2 linked regions of the Medicago truncatula genome follow. Each later gene encodes a partner of the first gene's protein in a complex. Links are inferred from orthologs where the notes say so. Each region holds a gene or a part of one and is shown in the gene's direction. Other genes may lie near its edges.

Region 1 (11,285 bases):
TTTTTTATTTGTACAATGTAAGAAAAGCAATTCAAGGATAAGTTCTAATAAAAAAAAAAAAACCGTTGTTAAATTGGATCCCTATGCATTGTTTCCAAAACAAAGAAGAATTAAAAAAGGAGTAAAATTTTCTATCTTTCGATAGAGAAACTGAGGGACTTCAGAGCAATACGGGGGCCTAAAGAACAATTATCTATATTTGGATAATTCCAACTTTTGATAGGCCCATATTTTGGGCTGACAGGCTCAGCTGCTACCAAAAGCTCACAAGCCCAACATCTACTTTCACAAAACCCTAATCCATAGATAAATTTCTTTTCTCCCATATAAACGAAAACCATCGACGCTTTGTTCTCTCTGAAGAGGAAGAAGGTGCACGCCGGCGGATTGAAGTAGGAACCCAACACCACCTTCAGCAATGGTACGTTAACTCCATAAACATTGATCTGTAATAATTTCACTACAAACACTTTATGGCTTTCAATTTCAATTTGTTAAGTCATTGAGCATACAAATAGATTTTCCTTTGAAATTGAAATATTTTTCTGTAAGATCTCATAGTTTGTGAAATGATTGGTTATGTGATTGTAGTCGTCGAAGAGAAAGGTTAGAGAGCCAAAGGAAGAAACAGTGACTCTTGGTCCAGCTGTTAAAGATGGAGAACAAGTTTTTGGTGTTGCTCGTATCTTTGCTTCGTTTAACGATACCTTCATCGTGAGTCTATTTTCCTTCTTTTTATCATTCATTCCAAATTTTGTGTTTTTTTTATTTTATTTGTTGGTGTAATTCATTGAATTGATTTATTTCAGCATGTGACTGATTTGTCTGGTAGAGAAACACTTGTCCGTATTACTGGTAAGTGTGTGTTTTTATTTCATTTCATTTCATTTAACATTAAATTTGCTCAATTGTTTGAAGTTATATTGAAATTTTTCTCTGTAATTTTAGTTGATTTGTGTGAAAATAAGTTTTTATCTCATGTATATTTGATTTACAAGATTTTTATGTTTGATATGTGCTTTGTGGAACTACGTTTTTATGGAACTGTTTGATTTTCAACTGATTATAAACTTGAGCAATGCCCAAAGTGAAGATTTGGGACCTGTTTGGTTAGTTCCAAATCCAATTATAGTGTGTGGCTGTGTGCACTTGTCATGATTAGGTATAAGTCGCATTTGGATTGACTTGTTTTTTAGCTTAAGAAAAATAGCTTATGCAAAAAAATAACCTTATGACAAGCTTATGAATAATACATAGAGGCTTATTTATTCCCATAAACTGTTTTGCATAATGTCAAAAAATAAGCTAATCCAAACAGGTCCATAAGCTATTTCTATAACAATAGATAAAATAAACTCAAGTGTTTTCATATAAGCTATAATACGTCTTCACAAGCTATTTTGGAAAATTTATAAAAATAAGCTGAAAACAGCTTATGAATGTCATAAGCTGTTTTCCCAAGTTTTCTAAGTCAAGTGTTTATGCTAGTAGATAAGCGTAAATAATCAATTCCAAACAGACCGTTCTTGCCATTTACAATTTTGCTCTACCGTTTACCAATGACCCTGATAATATAAATGGAGCAATTCTTCTATTGGCACAACACCAAATATAAATCATTTGGGCACACTCATATGAGAGTCACTTCAAATGAAAAATTTAAAAGAGAATAAAATTAAATGATGTTGATTGATGTGATTTAATTAATTTTGTTTTTATTTTTTTCATTTATGTTTGGGTGTGCCCAAATATTTTTCATTTGGGGTTGTGACCATAGTAGAATTGCTCATTTAAATGTATAAATCTTCGTTGTCATTAACCAGTTTGATGCATGTCTAAGTCTGTTTGTCTTATCTAATTTGTTATGTTTCAGGTGGAATGAAGGTCAAAGCTGACCGAGATGAGTCATCTCCATATGCTGCCATGCTTGCTGCACAAGATGTTGCCACCAGATGCAAGGTAATTGCATATATTTGTATCTTTTTATTCACTTGTGTTTTTTCTTGACAAGCGATTGCGTTGCTCTTTTTAATTTGATTGAATTCTTGTAATCTGATTGCTCCGCCTGTCGTATCAAATATTAATTGTTATTTCATTGGCATTTTCCATTAGCTGTCATAATTTGCTGATTCTGTGTTCTTGAACAGGAGTTAGGCATAACTGCTCTTCACATCAAACTACGTGCTACTGGAGGAAACAAGACCAAAACACCAGGCCCTGGTGCTCAGGCTGCTCTCCGTGCCTTGGCTCGGTCAGGAATGAAAATCGGTCGCATAGGTATTCCTTTAGTCCATTTTTAGGATGCATGTCTTGGTAAATTTGTTCCCTGCTGCTCTAAGCTGGTGATGTGGTCTATAGTTTTTTATGTGCTTTTGTTTTATGCGTTGTGTTTGTGAATCTTGTTTATGAAGTAATAGTTCTCCCTCCTAGTTACTCTTATTTTGTATTCTCAGCATTTGACGATGAGTTTCTAAGTTTTGATATCCAGCTTAATATCTAATTAGCTTGCCTTTTGTTTTTAAATTTGCAGAGGATGTGACCCCAATTCCTTCTGACAGCACCCGCCGAAAGAGTGGTAGAAGGGGTAGAAGGCTCTGAGTTTGCTATGGTATTATGGAAGGAGCTGCTTATGTTTTTATTTTGGTCACCGTGTTTTTGTTTCTTTCCAGACTGTATTGTGGCATATTCAAAAGTTCTACATGAGTTTATTTAGATACAAGTTAAGAGTCAAATGAAAGTTTTTCATGTTTCTTCTATGATTTACACTTTTGCGGATTTGATAAATTGCTTCATCTAATTTTTGTTTTGTTCTCTCATGTTTACTTTATACCGTATGAGAATTAGTACTTAATGGCATTGGTATAATTACCATTGAAATATCAATGGCTGTGAAATTCCTAGTTACTAGTATAGTGACCCGTGTCAGCACGGGGAAATAAAAATCTTTTTTGATCAAATGTATAGATTTTAAATTCGATATGAAATATCTAAACATTGCATATAACGATAAAAATATCTGGATTATTATACTTGTACTAATTATTTGTAGTATAAGATTCACTCATTGTTAAACTTAGCATATGTAGTCGGTAAATGCAAACGTTTAATTTTTTTACAAAGGTTTCACGATACACAACATCTGTGGTCTCCTTACAAACATTATTATCGTCATCCAGGATGAGCAGCTTTAGACCTTTTCTTGAAGTTACCCGAGAGACAGCGACATAAAGTTGTCCATGCGTGAACACAGGCTTATGAAGCTAAAACTCCATTCAAGATAAAGATTGACCTTGGCTTTTATTTATTGTCATTGCAAAACAAAGCGTCAAAGGAAATTGCCTGCGCCTGAATTTGAAGGGTAGTCCTGGATCATTCAGAATAAAATTCATCCTGGGAATGAATACCCTAGTACCTGCCCTTTTTCCTGTAATTACGGTAGCAACTATCGTGCTCTTCCCTAGATGTGTAACTTTCAGCCTAGTACCATTACACAGTCCATTGACCTGATCGATGTTTCTCATCAGCATAACTGGACATCCCACCTTTAGTTTCAACCTGTGATTTGGAATTCCAGAGCTCTTAATACCATTAAGAAATTTTGGTGTGAACCACTCGCTTTGGACATCAGAATTTTCACCCGATCTAAAAATAGAATCAGAGCTTAAATACTCTTTCTCTTCACCTGGAATCAGCGACATCATAAATTCGTTAACATGCTCAATTGAATCAAGCGTTGGTGCGAGTATTCCCCTTTCTTGGAAAAATAGTTGGTCACCAAGGTTATCATTTAGATCGGGATACACAAAGTCTATAAGTGACATCAACGGATTTGTTGTGTCTGATATCAGCAAATCTTCAGGAATTTCTACCTTCATTTCACCATTGTCACCCAAAGCATCGTTGCCGTCTCCAATTGAGAGTATCCACTTGCAAAAATTAGCAATTTCTTCCTGCTCTGCAGGTACCGAAGATGCACCCAATCTCATATTAACAGTAAGCCTCAACACATTACAATAAGCCCATATCTTTGACGAATTGACCGAGGCATTAACAATATCCGGTCTCGTTCCTCCTCAGACAACAGTTAATATCTGCCTAAAATCACCACCTAAAACTACAGTCAATATCTGTCATTCCACCAAGCGTTGGTGCGAGTATCCGGCCTCATTCCTACTTATGTTGATTGTAATTTGTAAACTTTGTTATGGATGTTTTCAATGGTTTTTTGTAGTTGCGCTAATAAAATCAATTTACCTTAGTTTAGTTATGCGATGTTAGTTGACCTATTTTAAAATTTGACATATTTGGTCTAAAATATGGCCATATGATATTTGAAGTTTTGAAGGGAATATCGAGGTTGAGTTTTTTTGTCATGAAATCACATTCTACATTATTTAAAACATTACAGATTTAATAAAAATGACAATGACAAAGGGACCAATTTTTAAAATAGAGGGTATGTGAAATGGTGAAAATACTGAACCAAACTTGCAATTGAACAGACAAAATTGTATAAGGTACCTTTTAAACACTAGAAAAAATACAATGTTTTTTTTATGTATGCAAATAAATTATCATTCAACAATTTATCTCTCCTACTATTGTGGATTTACAAATAAGTGTTATGTAGGAAGACATAAGTGTTATTTAGGAAGACATAAGTGTTATTTTTTTATTTCCAATAAATCTAAACCATTGAATTTTTTTAAAATTCTAATGGTAAAATATAAGTGGTACACCGGTGAGGGACTTAATTGCTCCTTCACCCTAGAATCCATCTCAATATATATGTGAAAGCAACAAATAATAACGGAATAAGCATATGTTAACCATAGTTTTAAAACTCGGCTCAACCATCGACTTGACAAAGGTATTGGGTCACTGGGTTAATGGTCGAACCATTGAGTCACTGGTTGAACCGCATGACTTAACCAGATTAAATCGGATGACTCGATCGAATAACTTGGTCTCTATATTAAACTTGTTTATGTAATATTAAATTAGGTTGAACAAGATGAATCAATCTCTAAAAATTTCAATTTTTTAAATTAGTTAAAAACTCCTAATTTTCTATATTCTTATTTTCTTTCTCCTTTTAAAATTTTCAAAATTAGGCTGTATATAAATGTTAATCGGAAGGAATGATGTCACACGTTTAAAAATATAAATACTTGCAACCAAAAAAATATGCATTCAAAAAACAAAAAAAGACAAACAAAAAGCTAAAATAAAAAAAAGAATATAAAAGTTGACCCGAGTCTAAGAGAAAAAAGGCCCAAGCCCATTGATCTCTCTCAAGGCATAACCCTAATTATAAAACCAACATTTTTTTTTTTGAAAAATGATATTTGAACAACCATTTTTTGACAATTTTTGTGACAACTTTCTCTCTCATACTCACATGATTATTCTACTTTCTCTCTCTATTGCTTTGATTTTTGTGCCACTATTTAAATTTCTTTGTAAAATTTGGTTGTCCAACAAGTTGTCACAATAAATGGTTATACAAATAACATTGCTCTTTTTTTTTACAAACAACACGTCTCTTAGTTATTTGCAGCCGCCGTTACATTTTGATTTTCCCCTTGTGCGATTCAAACACAGCGCAGCTTCTTTCTTGATGCTTCTTCTTCAATTGTTTTGTTTTCTATTTCATGTATTTCTTCTCTATACCTCTTTCTCCCTTCCTTTTCAGAAATTAATTTGAGCGACATCAATTTTTTGTTGTGCGATCTGCGATGGTGTTTGACCCGGTCCGAGTTGTAGAAACCGTCGGTTCATCGGTTTATTGAAAAAACCGGACGAGTCGTCCGATTCACACTGGGTCAAATGCATGACTGATCTAACTACTTACTTGAATCGGTTCTACCACCGGTTCACGGTTCGACTGGCCGGTGCTGGGTTTTAAAACAATGATGTTAACATATCTATCCGATTTTATATACAAACAAATAATATTTTTTGAAATCGAATAACTTATTGGGTGTGTTTGGTTTGCAAAACAACTAGTATTGGACAGAACAGTATAAGATAGAACAGTACTACAACACAACACAAAACATATTTTGGTATTTTATACAACTTGTGCGTGGGACAAAAAATTATGCTGTGGTTTGGTGAGGGACAAATATGAGTTGTTCTGTTCTGTCATGTCCTTCATTCTTTTAGCAAATCAAACGCACCCATTTAATTTATCTATAATAGAGTCTTATAGCAAATATAGTCTAAATATATCAATTATTCTGTAAATAAAAAATCGATTCTATAGATATATGAAAAACAAAAAAAATCCCCAAACAAGTCTAAAATAAAAACCGTGATTCCTCTCTCACTTCTTCCCCCGCAGTTCTTAGCTTCATCAACGAACAAGGTTCGTGTCTACTCTCTAGTTTCCCTATTTTCCTCTCCCCTATCTTTTCGAATTGAAGTGCGAAAACAGCGACTAGCCTTTTCTCCATCACTTCAAGAGAGTAACGAGGGTTAACACTCTAATTAACCACATATTCAGTTAATATTAGTTATTGCATAAGCAAATATTACAATCGAAGAGCAAATTAGGCTAAACTCTGTTTATTACTTCACAAAATTACCCGAACAATGAACTGTTACTAGGGCACACTTTCTCTCTAATTTCATATCCATTGAATTTCATCGACAACTTGTGATTTTTTTTTATTCGTTTAACTTACTATGTTATTTTCATTAGCGTTGGGAATTTGGGTACATTCATATATATCTTTTCATCTTTCTTTCATTGTTTGAAATGAAGTTAGTTGGATTTTTATTCGATTTAGGGTTTATATGGTTTTGACTGTTTTTTTTTTTTTTTTTTATGGTATTCTTTGAATCTACTCTTATTATTTGTTTTGTGGCCACAAGTAACTGTTCAGGTTCGGTGAGAAGGGAGAGAAAAGAAAATGTTTTTCCACATAGTGCTGGAGCGAAACATGCAACTGCATCCACGCTACTTTGGGCGTAACCTTCGTGATAATCTTGTTTCCAAGCTAATGAAAGATGTCGAAGGCACTTGCAGGTGATTCACCTTAAGATCATTTCACTCTTTTTTACAAAACCATAGTTCTAGTAATTAAACTTAGGACAAAAGATGCCATCACTTGAGATTTTTTCACTAACAGACTACTACTTGAAGAATATGTACTATGTTGTCTTTGATTTCTTTTCAATTTTGTTTTTGTTTATCATTTGAAGAAGACAAATTAAATAGAACTGCACTTTGAGCATTACTTGATGATGGAAACAATTTCAATTGAAATAAAGGGCCAGTAGAACAGTAACAGACCTCTTTAACCCCAAACTAACAATATCTGTGATAAGCCTTTTTGTGTCTTGGACTAATTTTGTTTGGAAATAAACCTGTAATAATTTGGATCAAACTGTTTCTGTTTTGGACTTTGTGGTGATGCAATTTTTGGGCTTTCAACTATTACGCAGTGGACGACATGGATTTGTGGTGGCGGTGACGGGAATTGAGAACATTGGCAAAGGAATAATTCGGGATGGGACCGGATTTGTGACATTTCCGGTTAAGTACCAATGTGTTGTCTTTAGACCATTTAAGGGAGAGATCTTAGAAGCTGTTGTTACCATGGTGAACAAGGTTTATGCAATTCCTTTCCCCTGTCTCTACATTTTACTCATTAGCTTTATCTAGGTGTCTGACTCTGCTGTGTTGATAAAGTGGTTTATATTATTGAGTTCTGTTTGTACAGATGGGTTTTTTTGCTGAAGCTGGACCAGTTCAAATCTTCGTTTCCAACCATGTAAGTTCTTTTATAACCTTTGACAAAAGGCCTCTATCATCATCTTCACCTTACACACTTGTACCTAAGATACTGTTATTATTGTTCTTCATTTTAAGCCCTAAAATCATGATTCTCATTTATTGAACTTGAGATTAGAGTAGTAAAAGACATAACCTGTCTTAAGTTATTCTTTCATATTGAAAAATTAAATGCACATTCCAAAAAAAAGAATTACGGAATGCTGTCCAAACTTGTTGAACTCAAGTTGCATAAGCACTTATGTTCTTCTGATTTCTGAATAATGGAAAAGAAATCGACTTCTTGTTTTGTCATTTGTCATATTGACTATATAGTATTTACACTAGAGATCATTATCTCCAATGCAATTCCTCTTTTAGATGTCTGTATGAAAATGGTTTTCATTGATTTCTTGCTAGGTTTGAAAAAAGGATAATTTGCAAGCTTTGAACTGTGACCCGAGTTTAGTCTCCCCCGTAGCTATTCTGTTTTGCCTTTGCTACTATTTCCTCATGTATTTTTGTCTTGATCAGACCCTTTTTTCTCCTTTCAGTTGATTCCAGATGATATGGAATTCCAGACTGGAGACATGCCAAACTACACTACTTCAGATGGATCGGTACATATCATTTATAATAATTTCTCATTGAAGAGGAAGAGAGCAATTTTTTTTTTTAGGTGTTCAATTTAATGTGTTTTCTTCTGTTTTTGGCTTTGATCGTTTGTTTTTTTGCAGGTTAAGATTCAGAAAGACAGTGAAGTGAGGCTAAAGATAATTGGGACTCGAGTGGATGCTACTGAAATTGTAAGCCTGTATATATTGCAGCTTTTAGTTTGCTTTTATTTATGTTGTTAAGCTCCATCAGTTTTATGTGAAATTATACTTTTAAGAAATTCAAATTAATAGGATATGAAAGCACTGTGGTCTGTGCCAGATATAGCTTTCATTTCTTGCAGGTCTGCTTACTAGTACAAATTGCTAGAGAACGGCCTTAGTTTATGATAGTTTGATTTTTAAGTTCATGGTAGGACCCTTGGGCCTTATGACACAGGTGATCCAATTATAAAAGCAAATATGAATAGACCCACTACATGGTAGGTATACACGAGCAGGGGAAGACTGGGGTCAGTGGGGAATAGTGGAAGTTAGTTATGAGGGGTCCCTAGATTTTATTTGAAGGAGGGAGAGTCTAGGTGTGAGGGTATTCCGGATTATGCTATTGAGCTGGGTAGGAGATAATATCTCTCTGGTTAGGAGTCACTGACTCTGGATGTACTTTTATTTTCATTGTAGAGCTAGATCTCATTTCCTTTTATGAAATAATGCACTGTCGCATTGCTCATAACTGTCGGTTTCTATCAGTTTATATGATTCACAGGCTTAGCAGTAGTGATCTGTACATACCATAAAAGTGGCGATAAATTTATGCTAGTGTTTTACCACTTGGTTAATCTTTTATCACCACCATTCCAACAACCATGTCAACAGTGATCAACATGGAATGTGAAAGTGACTACCAAGTATAGGTTAATCTTTTATCACTTTTGTGGTTTGCAAGAATCATTCTTCATGACTGCTCCATGCTGCAATTTTACTTTACTACGGTAGTAAGATGCAGAACATGGTAGAACTAGTTGATGTTACTTGTCTGATTATTGTTCCTATTTCCTTGCATGATTATCCTGTAAGATGTCTTAATTAACTCGTGATAGTGATGGCCTCGCAGCCTAGTTACCGTTTTAGCATTAGATAATGTTTTTTTTCCAATATTTCTTAATGAGAATCAAGTATACTCTTGCACATGCTAAGCCTATTTTTTCATTCCCCTCACTCTCCCTTAGGGCTATAACACGAATACAATGAACACTGACCAGTGCAACTCTTCAGTTTCTCATAGCTATTAAATTATTTTTCCTTTGATCTTTTGTATATAACTATTTATCATGTTTTATGGTTTCACTATCTTCAAGAACTCATTTATTTAATGTTACATATTATCCACTTTTGCAGTTCTGCATAGGTACCATTAAAGACGATTTCTTGGGTGTGATCAACGACCCTGCAACAGTTTAAATTCACCTTTATGTACCCTTCTATCGTATAGTTTTAGTGGCATACACCTGATACTCATCATGTTGGTGTAACTCTGTTGCATAAATTACCAGAGTTACTTAGTTGATGTATCAAATTCTCTTATTGATTACAATTTGTGTATGAATATTTTCTATCTGTCAATGTCAATTACCTTTGTGCTGTACCCATAATTAATGGCAATATTTTCAGTCCTTCCTTTTACTAAAAAACACTGCATTATTTGTTTACTATTTGGGTCAAGAATTAATTTTTGGGAAGCAACGCAAAGTAAGATGTCCGGGTACTTTTTTTTGTTGGAACAAACAGGTACTATTTTAATACGAAATGAATCCCTTCCTGCCTTAATTTATCCGGCAGTTTCTCTTGTCGTTGGATTAATCCAACGGTTTAGTGGTAAACAGAGAAAGTGTGTGTGGTTCATTTTCGACTTTCATGGGTTTTCTTCACTTTCGACTTTCATGGGTTTTCTTCACCTGCTGTTGTTGTTCTCGAGTTTTTTACAATACAAGAATGGTGATTTCAGTCACCCAAAATACAAATAAATTGAATCAATGTCACCCAAAATACAAATAAGTTGAATCAATCTTCACCACACAACCTAGAAACAACATCTGCCCCATATGTTATATTTGACAAAAACAGTAAAGGAAAAGAACAGTATAGGAGACACAAGCTGTACATAGATCCTATTTCAGTGGCTTTTTACACAAAATCGGTGAATTGATTTTTCGGGTGTTATGCGGTTTCTACTCAAACCCAGTTGTTAGCTCCTCCATGGTAGGTGGGATTGTGATTCTGTTTCCTAGTGGTGAGTTTGACATTGTTAAAAAAAAAAAAAAAGATTCCAATTTCTAACAGGCAAAAGAGATGATGCAATGAAGAAATCCCACAACAGCAATGCGAGGGATGAAGAAATCTCACAATTCTCACAAAAAATTAGCCCACCCGTTATCTTTCCAGTGACATTGCCGTTTTTATCTTACCTTTTGACTCTCAGCCGTTGGATCAATGCAGTAGAGATGGTATTAGACAATGGGACAAGAGAGGATCTGGATCCATTTTAATAGTATAGTATATTTATTTTGCTTATGTGTTTAAAGTATATAGTATTTTTCGTTCATAAGAAATGACATGTTACATTATGGGGGGTAAAGAAAATCATTGTCAATGTAATTTAATAGAATTTAAATTGTTCCTAAAAGGCAGTAAAGTCGCGAGTTCAACTTCTGTTATCGGTATGAGAACCAATGTCGGTGTAATTTAATGGAATTCAAATTGTTTCAAAAAGAAATCGTAAGGGTTATAAAAAGAAAAGAATAGTTTAAATACTTTTTTGAACTTAATTCCTAACGGTTCTTAGGAAAATAGTAACATGAAGTTCAATTGGACAGTAAAGAAGTTCCGATCAA
Region 2 (10,737 bases), on another chromosome or scaffold:
ACGTTCCCACTCCTTGTATTTTGCCTTTGCAAACTCTTGCCATATTTCTTCAACCATATAGCCCTTTGGATTGGCACCTCTCCCAAGATCCAAAGCCTTAATCATGACCAAAAACAAAAGAATCATTATTCATTTGAAAAATGAGGGTAAGGCATTGTTATTATCTTATAAAAATGCACCACACTGAAAATCAGCAGGAATGTTGTATTCAATCAGACGTGACATTAAAATTTAAATAATGGAAGAGCCATGTCCTGTTGACAGCTCAATAGCAAGCCAAAATTCTCAAACAAACTTTTTTACTTCGCAGCAAAATTTTAAATGAAGTGAAAAAATATAAAATTGAGAAATAAAAATGAAAAAGAAAGCAAATGCACAGTGAACAGAACCCAAGCAATCAATTAAGAATTAACTAAAAACGAGTTCCAAATCATTCCTCACGTAATATACATGGATGCATCCTTAGCTTTTGTTCATCAAATATCAACATAACAAGACTGAATTAGAGAGATAAAGAGATGGAAAAGCGTCCACACACCCTAAGGCAAAGCTTTTGGCTTAAAATTGGTTTGAAATTTCATTTCGTGTAGAAGAATAAAGGGGATTAGGGGTGTGTATGAATTATTGGGCTAGGGCTTGTACTGGTAATAATACACTAGTACTTCACCTATTTAGAATTACAAAATAGGACTTACTCAGTTGGTATTATGTATAACATCTCCATTCACCACACCATATCAATCCAATATTACTGGGATGTCCCTTTCTATCTTTTCTTCATTCCCTACCAATATCCTATAATTTTGCTAATATTGTAGAATTAATTTAGATGTAGCAAATGATGCAACAGGTAAATTAGTCATTTGTTTTGCTGTTTCTACCTATAAATAGTATTTCATTACTTGAGTCATGACTTGCGGTGCACATTATGAACCTTACAATGTACATATATATTCTTCACAATTTAATTTATGATGGTGTCTTAACTTGTCACTTGTCTCCGTCAAACCCAATGACAGTTTTAATATATCATGTATGACTGTCCTAGATCAGAAACAGTGTAAATTGCAGAATAATAAACCACATCCAATCCCAGGGGAAGGAAGCATAAAATGTGGGAACATGATTATGTATGTTATATTTTAATATTGTCTTTCTAGTTGTCCTGCAACATTTATCAATTGCACAAAGTTGTAAAATACTGAAGGTCACAAACAGAAAAGGGAAATAGTTTTTTTAACCAGTTAACACTTAAAACAAGTAAAGACGTAATCAAACTAAGAAGCACTAAATAATTTATTGCAACAGATATAACAAAATTAATTGATGTCCATGAAACACACAACAAGGGTGTTTGATGACAAATTGACGACAAACCTTTTGCAATTCTCGGATTCCTTTCGTATGTTCTTGTTTCTGTAGCAATGCAAGACCCAACATATAGTGTGCCTGAAATATGTGCAAAAGAAGATTCAGCTGGAAACAAGATAATCAAAACAAAGCACAAAGATGCAAACATTTACAAAATAATCAAATATAAGATGTAATGAGAAAAATATTCACACAGCCAGTGGTTTCACCAAACTCAGGAAGTCACTTCAACAAACAATTGATATATCAATCTATTAAAGTTCATATTTTGATATTGAAACACCTTCCAAAACTAACACAAAACAAGGCATACATATCTTGGTAGTTAATGTACTAGATCCCCCAAAGTTGTGTTTGGTTTAGACACAAAACTTAGCATCAATGAGTCAATAATATTAATATAATAACAAAGTTAAAAAAGATAATAATATTAAGTCGAGGTTTCCACGGAGATTGTTTGGACACCTGTACATCATCTGAGAGGTTTATAGCAAACATATGCATCTTACATAGCTCATCAAAATCATAAAACAATCTAAAATTTAGAAAACCCCCTTTAACGCAGCCCAGGAACCAACTAAATTTTAAGTAAAGAAAACATGGAAATAGGTTGAGTAGTTATTTGATAATTGAGTTGCAAGGATTTGTGTAACACGAATCCAACTCCTCAGAGATATGCAATGATCAGAGTTCTTAAAATTGTGGCCAAGAGAACTACTTAACGTTTCAAGAATCTATTAACATCGAGGAATTTGTATCCCCACGCATAAATAAATTTAAGAAAATGCAGAACATCACGAAAAGTTATGATAGGCTATTTAGCATCAATACCCAATCTGTTTTACGCCTAATCAGAATGTAAAGTCACGTGGATTGTTTTAAACCCAAAATGTGCATCGCGCGTGCATTTTCACGAATAAAGGGTCCGTGATATATAGCATTGCTCATACAACTAAATGTGCAAACAAATTCATTCAAAAGCAAAAGCAATATTCGTAACAGATGAATGAAGCCATTAAATCAACCACGAGCGAGACAAAAGGAGTAATTACAAAATAACAAACAGATCAATCATTATAACCTTAACAGAATGACTGTCCAGCTGAATTGCTCTTCTAGAATCTTCCTCAACCCTCTCCCATTCACTACAAATAAACCAAACACATTGTGGACACAATTGTAATCAATAAAACCTCCAAAATATCAATATTCCAACCACAATTTCAATTGCATACAGAAATCAAAACCCTAAAAATCCCACAACCCAAATTTCAAATCAAAATTAAAAACCCTAAACAATCAAAAACACCCAAAAAATCATAATCATAAAATTGATAAAAATACATACTTTCGTTTGAGATGACACAAAGCACGATTGGTGAAATAAACGGGAACATTAGGGCAAAGCGTAATTGCCTACAAAACAAAAAACCCATGTCAGAAACGAAACAAAGTTTTAATTTTTGCAATTGAAAAGAAAAGGGTTAGTAAAAACTGAAAATTTGGATGAAACCTCAGTGTAAGCATCGATGGCGGCATTAAAACGGTTTTTCTTGAAGTAATTGTTACCGTCGTTTCGCAAAAGTTCGGCTTGTCTCATCGCCGAAGCGTTTGGCCTCATTTCACTATATCTAATGTTTATATCTATAGGTGTAGATTATTATGTGAATGAATGAATTGATGTTTATAATGTGAATGAATTGAATGTGAATTGTAGAAATTTGGAGAAGAAGAAACGGAGAGTACCGATGAAGAAAGGTAACAACGAGTTTTTGGAAATATGATGTGAGTATTGAGTTGTACGCCTCGCAGTTTCTGTCATAAATCACGCTATGTATTAAATTAAATTAAATTTGTCAATATCCAGTCAAAATAAATTGTCATAAAATCTAAAAAATTTCTATCAACTAAATAAACAAACTGTGGAATATATTGTTTTTATATATCTTTCAAAAAAAAATATATCTGTTTTTTTGTATGTAATAATTTTTTTTACATATGTTGAAGGTTGTGTCTATTTTTTTTCTCTTTTTTTTTTTTGGTCTAATATCAATTACGTTTAAAAATAAAAAATAATTTGGATCTTCTCATGTTGTCCATCCTATTTTAATATCCGTCATTCAAAAACAATTTTATGTTTCTTCTTATTACTATTATTTTTTTTAAGAAACTTAATTTTTAGTAAAAAGTAAGTTTTATAATCATGAAAAGGGAGAACAAAAATATAATATAAATAGTAGAGTCTTCTTTTATATTAGATCGAGTTTATATTGTCCTCGTGAGCATAATTCAGTTGGTTCGAACCCCAGCCACCACAAAAAAAAAAAAAAAAGTTTATATTAGACAATTCCATATACGTAAATTTAACACAATTCATTTTTTTTTTAAAGAATAACACAATTCGTTTTTATAAGATCTATCTCAATTAATATTATCGCATTAATCCGGCCATTTTAATTTAAATTCGAACTTGAAATTTGGTGTGTAAGTTTAAATAGTGTTTTTCACTTCCTTCTTCTAGATGCTGAAAAAATATAACAAATTTTGGTTTCAAAAAATTTATACTAAATAATTTAGTGGTTATAGTTTCATCCATAAAGTGAATAAGTGAATAATTCATGATTCGAATATCAGTCTCTACATATTGCATCGTATTGTTCCTATCAATTAAATGTAGAGGCCGAGATATGAAGGAATCAAACCAATCGTGAAGGAGAGAAGAAAAAAAAAGAGCAGGCTCACCAAAGTTAAAATGCATTATGCACTTAATATTTTTCATTCTTAGGAGATCGAGACTATTAGTTATAGGATGCATATCATGAGTCAAGTCTTTTTTCTTCTTCTTTCTTCTAAGCTTAGATGCATTTTTGCGTCTTTAACTTTTAAAAATTGCAATTTTGACCCCTAAAAAGTAATAGCAATTTTTTACCTTAACTTTACAAAAAAATTGTAAGACAATCGAGAAGACGTCACATGTCAAAATATGGGACCAAAATTGCTATTTTTAAAAAACAATAGGTCAAAAGTACATATTTTTTAGGATAGAGGGCAAAAATTGATTTTTTTTTTGTTTGCGTTGTGCAATGTTTTATAAAGTTAATGGATCAAAATTGTAATTTTTTTGTTGGAGGGTCAAAATTACAACTTTTTAAAAATTAAGAGGAAAAAAAATACATTTAAACTTTTTTTTATTTCAATTATCAATGGTTTTGAAATATAATTGCAACAATATGATGATATTCGATAACTCCAATTATTTAATAATATACATTTAAAACTCTTCAAAGCTATAACTATGAAAAGAGAAAAAAAATATAGGGTGCGTTTGATTTGCTAAAAAATAAAGGATAAGACAGAACAACTCTAGTTGTCCAGTGTTTGATTTATAAAACTGTTTCAGGTACAGGACAAACTGGAGGCAAGCGACAGAACAAAAACTTATATTTTTGTCCCTCACCAAACCACATCACAACTTTTTATCCTACGTACAAGTTGTCTAAAATACCAAAATAACATTTTGTCCCTCAAAAATCGTATAAAACAAAAAATTACTCAATGCCATAAAAAATTTGTCCTATGCTGTTCTGCCTTGTGTTGTACTGTTCTATCTTATATTGTTCTGTCCGATACTTACTGTTTTGCAAACCAAACACACCCATAAAGAAAAAATAGCGAGAGGTTCTTACATGTATCCTTTACTTTTCTCTGTTTTTTTTTTAAGGAGATTCTGACCCATATTCGAACATTGTGTTTAATATAATTTTGTAAATAATCTTGATAATAATTTATTTGTTTCTATTTTTCTTAATTGGTTGTTAATTTTTATACTCAAAAGATCTTGTATTTAATTATGAATGAATTTTGAGGTCAAGATAGGATATTACCAAAACTTAGGGTCATGAAAGAATTTACAATAAATAAAATTTTATTGGATTAATAGGCCTTTACCCCTCTATAATATAGGGTACTTTCGGTTTTGCCCCCTGTAATTTTTTATTTAGATTCCGTCCTTATAAAATAAAGATTCTTCACGATTGCCCCCTAAGCCCATTGACTCAGTAGAATCTCTGATGTGACACTTTTTCTTTTCCATTTTTTTGTGCTTGTCACGCGTAAAAAATTGTTTACACGTCATTTATATTTAAAAAAACGAAAATCCTTTTTTAAATCGAAAAAAAAATTATTTTTTTTTCAAAAATTAAAAAAAATTTAGATTTTTTTTTTCCGAAATAGAAAATGTTCTTCTCTTTTTCAAAATTTAAAAAAAATTCAGATTATTTTCGAAATAAAAAAGTTTTTTAAATTTTTTTCTACAAAAAAAGAAAATTCTGAAAAATATTTTAATTTTTAAAAATCTGGATATAAATATTTTTAAATTCCAATTATATAATTTGAAAAAAATTTGATTTTATTTAAATTTTTAAAATCTTAACTTCAGATTTTTTTCGAAAATTTTAAATTTAGAAAAATTCAGATTTGTTTTTGAATTTTTTTATAAAATCATGAAATATTGTTCTAGAATTCAAATTTTATGAAATTTTGAATATAATTTTTTTTAATTGAAATCAAAATCTTAATTTCAGTTGTTTTTTCAAAAAAAATTAAATTTAGAAAAGATTTCAAATTTTTTCGAGAGTTTTATTCCTGAAATTTTATGAAATCTTTTTCGAAATTAAAAAAAATCAATTTTTTTTCGAAATTACAAATATTTAAAAAAAAATCTGAAACTTAATTCTCAAAATATTTTTTTTAGATAATATTATAATTTTCGAAGTTTTTTTAATTTATATTTGGATATTTTAGAATCTTTTTCGTAATTATTTTATAATTTTTTGAAAAATTCGAAATATATTAAATTTTAGATTTTCTTATAATTTTTTTCCTAATTAATTTGTTTATTTTATAATTTTTGAAAATTAATTTTGATATTTTTAAAATTTTTTATTTATTAATGACGTGTAATTTTTTTTTTACGCGTGACATTTAAAAAATAAATAAAAAAAGAAAAAGCCACGTAGTTGCCACGTCAATAAGATATTTTGATGACTCGAAGGGCTCGGGTGGCAAACCTAAAAAATCTTTAATTTACGAGGACGAATCTAAATTTTATTTTTCAAAGAAAAACTAAAAATGCCATATATATATTATTGAGGATAAAGACTTATTAATCCAATTTTATTTTATTTTAGTTTTTGAGAGAAATAAAGTGGTAGCTTTTATTTTTTATTTTTTTAAGGGAAAGTGGTAGCTTTATAAACGCTGCGTTTAACGTTGTCTAAAATCCAAAACGAGTGTTACTTTCTTCCCAGGTGAACGACACAAAGCCCTCAACTTCTCTCACCGTTTTGATTCTGGTTAGTTCGTTACACCGTTTCTTCTTCTTCTACTTCTTCTTCCCAATCACATCATTATCTTTTTGATTTGATTTGTACTAATTTCATTACTGATTCTGTGCTGACCTAATTGAATTCAGCAGAAGAAGGAGTGAATCATGTCTGGTGAAGAGGAAGAAAACGCCGCTGAACTCAAAATCGGAGACGGTAATTACTCATTCTCGGTTTTCTCCACTAATTTGCTTCTTTACTTGCGTTCTGTTTTGCTTGAATTACGTAGTGTTTCATTATTAGTAATTTTTTAAATCCCTAATTTGAAAATTTTACCTTCGTACATAGTAATTCTTCGTTCAGTGTTTCTTTGAGATCAGTACTTCATCTTCGTATGGTTTCAAAGATGTTTGAGCTATGATGTTTATATATCTTTTTTTTTTTTTTTTTTTTAAGGATGATGTTTATATATCTGAACATTTAACAAGTTAATGAATTATAATTATGTGTTTTATATATAAATTCGTATTTGAGTTAATGAACTAATGCTATTTTTTACCATAGTTGATACGCTAGCTTATGACGGATGAACTTATTTATAGAGGATAACCGATAAGCTAGCTCACAGCGGATAATCTAGTTGAATGAATTTGTACGAGCACTTGAGCAGAAAGCTGTTTTATAAGCTATCCTATAGAGTGTATAGAAATAAGCTGAAAACAGCTTATGAACATGTCATAAGCTGTTTTCTTAAGTTCTTCTCACAAGTGCTTATGCCAGTAGATAAGCTCAAGTAAACCAATCCAATTCCCTTATTCTTTTAGCATGTGCTACGTTGAATAATACCTAAACTCATATTCTGAAGTGATATACTATAATACTATCTATATTTTTAGGTGATTAGTTAGTATATGAGGGTAATAAGTAATGGGTGTTGCTTTGATTAGTTGCGGCGTATCACCATACTCCTTTCAGATAGCTATTTTATTACACCATTCAAAATCTGATTGGTTCATTGATAGACAACGATCTTATGTTTTGTCATGTTGGATTGATTGAACATGTTTCAAGTTTGGTATAATTGTTGTGACTTTTTGTTTTTTCGCTAAAGAAGTAGTTTTTTTTTTTTTCTTCCAGAGTTTTTGAAAGCAAAGTGCTTGATGAACTGTGAGGTTTCATTAATTCTGGAACACAAATATGAGCAGCTTCAGCAGTCGTCTGATGATGCCATGAATCAAGTTTCTCAGTGAGTTCTAATCCTGTATCAATGTTCATGTGTTATTCAGACGTAAAGTTCATGCATGCCATTTTTACGCCCCTAGCTAAATTACTTTTTATTCCGGGAATATGACATGCATTTGTTATGCTTAATGACTCCAAGATCTTTTATTTTGATACTATTGCTGGAAGAAGAGAGTTATGCTTTGATGTCTGCCGCTGTAATAATACCTAAATTAAATAACATGTCCTTGAACTTGCCAAACCCAATTTACATATTTTCAATGATGAATTTGACAACGATGTTGATATAGAAGCGGAGTAATGTTGTAGTTAGCACCTTAGAGTAATGTGTTTTTCCTTCTATTTTTTTCAGGGTATTTGAAAAGTCATTGCAGTATGTGAAGCGTTTCAGCCGCTACAAAAATCCTGATGCTGTTAGACAAGTTCGAGAGTATCCTCCAAAACTGAGCTGATGAACCCATTTTCTTTTTCTCATGATTCATATATTTACTTAAATGAAAATTGTGACGGTGTCCATCTCATTTCTTTCATAATAATGAATAATCTCGTTTTCTTTTATTTCTTGATTGACTTTTCTCTTGTCTTTCTGGATCCTGTGTTTCCTTTTAGGGTCCATTTGGTTGAGAGTGGTTGAAGGGGAGGGGATATTTTAAATCATTTATGTTTGGTTCAATTTTTAAGAGAGGGGGATGGGAGGGAATCAAAACCCCTCCTAGACCACTTTTTGCTTCCCCTCAAATTGGGGGGATTTGGAAGTGAGGTGACTAAAAACACTTCTAAACCATTTAAAATTCCTCCCCTCATTTTAAACCAAACATGCTTTTAATTAAAAACTCTCCCCTTTGTTGAACCAAATAGACCCCTACGTAATATCTCTTTCTATCATTTAATAAGAAATTTGAAATTGCAAAGCCCTGTATCAGATTGTGATCTTAACTGGCTTAAGAATTCTTGCGAGATATCAGTTGGCTGAATTTGAGGTAATATGACTATTCCTTTCACAAATTCGGTTTAGGAAGCAAGTTTTCACATTTTATTATGAGGATAAAGAAAAAGAGTTATAATTTCACACAATACAATTAACTGTTTCAATGAATTTATTGCAGCTGTGTGTCCTAGGCAATCTTTGCCCGGAAACTGTAGAGGAAGCTATTGCTATGGTTCCATCTATCAAGGTAGAAATAATTTGCCTCTCCTTCTTTCTGTAAACTTTTCCTGTTGGGCGGGGATGAGAAGGGTTTGTTTTTGGGAAGGAGTGGTGATGTTAGGTCAATTTTAAATGATTTGAATTCTCCCTTTCATGCTTGTTAAAATGAAGAAGGGGAGATAAATAAAGGCATGAATTGAATCAAATATGATGTTCTATAAATTTATCTCTTTGAATAAATTTCTATTAAAATTTTATCGAGTTGGTAGGAGTTGGTAGGACGGTAGTATTGTTTGATTGATGTGGTCAATACTATCTAGCAGGGAATAACTTATTTTTGGTGTAAAATTCTGTTTTGTTAATGAGCAAAATCAGAAATATCTACAAGTTTGGCAATTAAATTTACAAAAATTCCCAATATTGGAGAATTCATAAGTAAAAGCTGGAGGATTTTATTGGGTTACTATTTATCTCCGTAATGGCATCTCAGTTTTTATTAATATGTTTCATTTATTTTTCCCGCGAGCCTTCTGTTACATTGTTCTTTTACCATTTGCCCTCACCATAATATATTCCAGATTCATCATGGTTCAAAATGTTTTTTCTGACAGATAGAATTAATGAAAAAACTTCATTTTCTGGGTGTACGTGTGTTGTCCAATTTTAAACTTTACTTACCTCTATATGGTTGTAACCTTATAATAATTGATAGGGTGATTGACATTTGAAGTATTCTTGCACCCTTGTGGATCGTGGTTTTAAAATTATAGTACTGTTAAACATGGTCACACTAAATTTGTGTAACAACTAATACATCTTTTTTGTCATGTGTCATTTTTTAACATGCAGACAAGAGGACGGGCTCAGGATGATGAAGCAATTGAGAAGATGTTAAATGACTTATCACTGATTAAGAAATTTGAATAAGAGTTTCTTACAGTTCTTGTAAATCATGGTCAGTTCTGTGATGTACGGTAAGTGGTACTGTATAACATACCACTTGACAGCAAACAATGTGTTTTGTAGTTATTGCAGAACTCATGCTGGTAATATAGCTACCTTACTGTGACTTTTATTGAGGAGGATTTGAAAAAGATGGTATGTGGTGCATTGAGACTGTGTGTGGTAGGTTATGAACTTATGATGAAAGAACACTGATTATTGTCTTGCCTGTATTCTCCTATATGCAACAAAAGGGGAGCTATTATTTTTTTGCTTGTGACATGATTAGAGAACACATTACACACACCGGTTCCTATTTCCTACAAATGTGTGATAATTGTCTAGAAACTAAAGAGATACACTTAATGCAAATTACCGAACCCTATCTTCTAGGATATTAGATGCAGACACATGAGCTCACATTATTATTTAGATATGAAAATTTTCCTAAAATGAAAATGGATTGTGTTTTTTGATCCTTCTTCAAACTACAAACAACATTTTGTAGAAACTATACTTTGTGTGGCATTTCATTTCAATTTCATGTCGTATTTCATTATAGCAATTTCGCAAGAAGCAAGGATGCTCAGATATAACTGGATGGTATTATTCAATCTTTTTTGTAGAGGTCGTGTTAAAATAAGTAAAAAAAAAAAAAAAAAAAAAAAAGGCATCTCTCGTTCCCGAAAGAGCATTATGCATTCCAATGAT

The links.
Region 2: DNA-directed RNA polymerase II subunit RPB7 (region 1) and DNA-directed RNA polymerase II subunit 4 share a complex: the UniProt entries of both Arabidopsis thaliana proteins name them as parts of the RNA polymerase II complex. The link is inferred for Medicago truncatula from reciprocal best matches to the Arabidopsis thaliana genes NRPB7 and NRPB4.

Annotation. Positions count from the first base shown.
Region 1 is NC_053045.1:46,417,128-46,428,412, forward strand, and holds DNA-directed RNA polymerase II subunit RPB7, read left to right. Parts: upstream 1-6,244; 5' UTR 6,245-6,370; intron 6,371-6,879; 5' UTR 6,880-6,917; coding exon 6,918-7,033; intron 7,034-7,452; coding exon 7,453-7,618; intron 7,619-7,730; coding exon 7,731-7,781; intron 7,782-8,334; coding exon 8,335-8,400; intron 8,401-8,517; coding exon 8,518-8,586; intron 8,587-9,792; coding exon 9,793-9,855; 3' UTR 9,856-10,085; downstream 10,086-11,285. Other genes in the region: 40S ribosomal protein S14, read left to right, coding at 419-421, 592-714, 810-855, 1,874-1,959, 2,148-2,277, 2,531-2,598. UniProt on the Arabidopsis thaliana protein: DNA-dependent RNA polymerase catalyzes the transcription of DNA into RNA using the four ribonucleoside triphosphates as substrates. Component of RNA polymerase II which synthesizes mRNA precursors and many functional non-coding RNAs.
Region 2 is NC_053049.1:3,121,663-3,132,399, forward strand, and holds DNA-directed RNA polymerase II subunit 4, read left to right. Parts: upstream 1-6,613; 5' UTR 6,614-6,725; intron 6,726-6,844; exon of another isoform or gene 6,845-6,847; 5' UTR 6,848-6,862; coding exon 6,863-6,911; intron 6,912-7,832; coding exon 7,833-7,941; intron 7,942-8,289; coding exon 8,290-8,367; intron 8,368-8,883; coding exon 8,884-8,917; intron 8,918-9,043; coding exon 9,044-9,112; intron 9,113-9,933; coding exon 9,934-10,011; 3' UTR 10,012-10,332; downstream 10,333-10,737. Other genes in the region: E3 ubiquitin-protein ligase CHIP, read right to left, coding at 1-96, 1,378-1,449, 2,453-2,516, 2,720-2,787, 2,885-2,992. UniProt on the Arabidopsis thaliana protein: DNA-dependent RNA polymerase catalyzes the transcription of DNA into RNA using the four ribonucleoside triphosphates as substrates. Second largest component of RNA polymerase II which synthesizes mRNA precursors and many functional non-coding RNAs.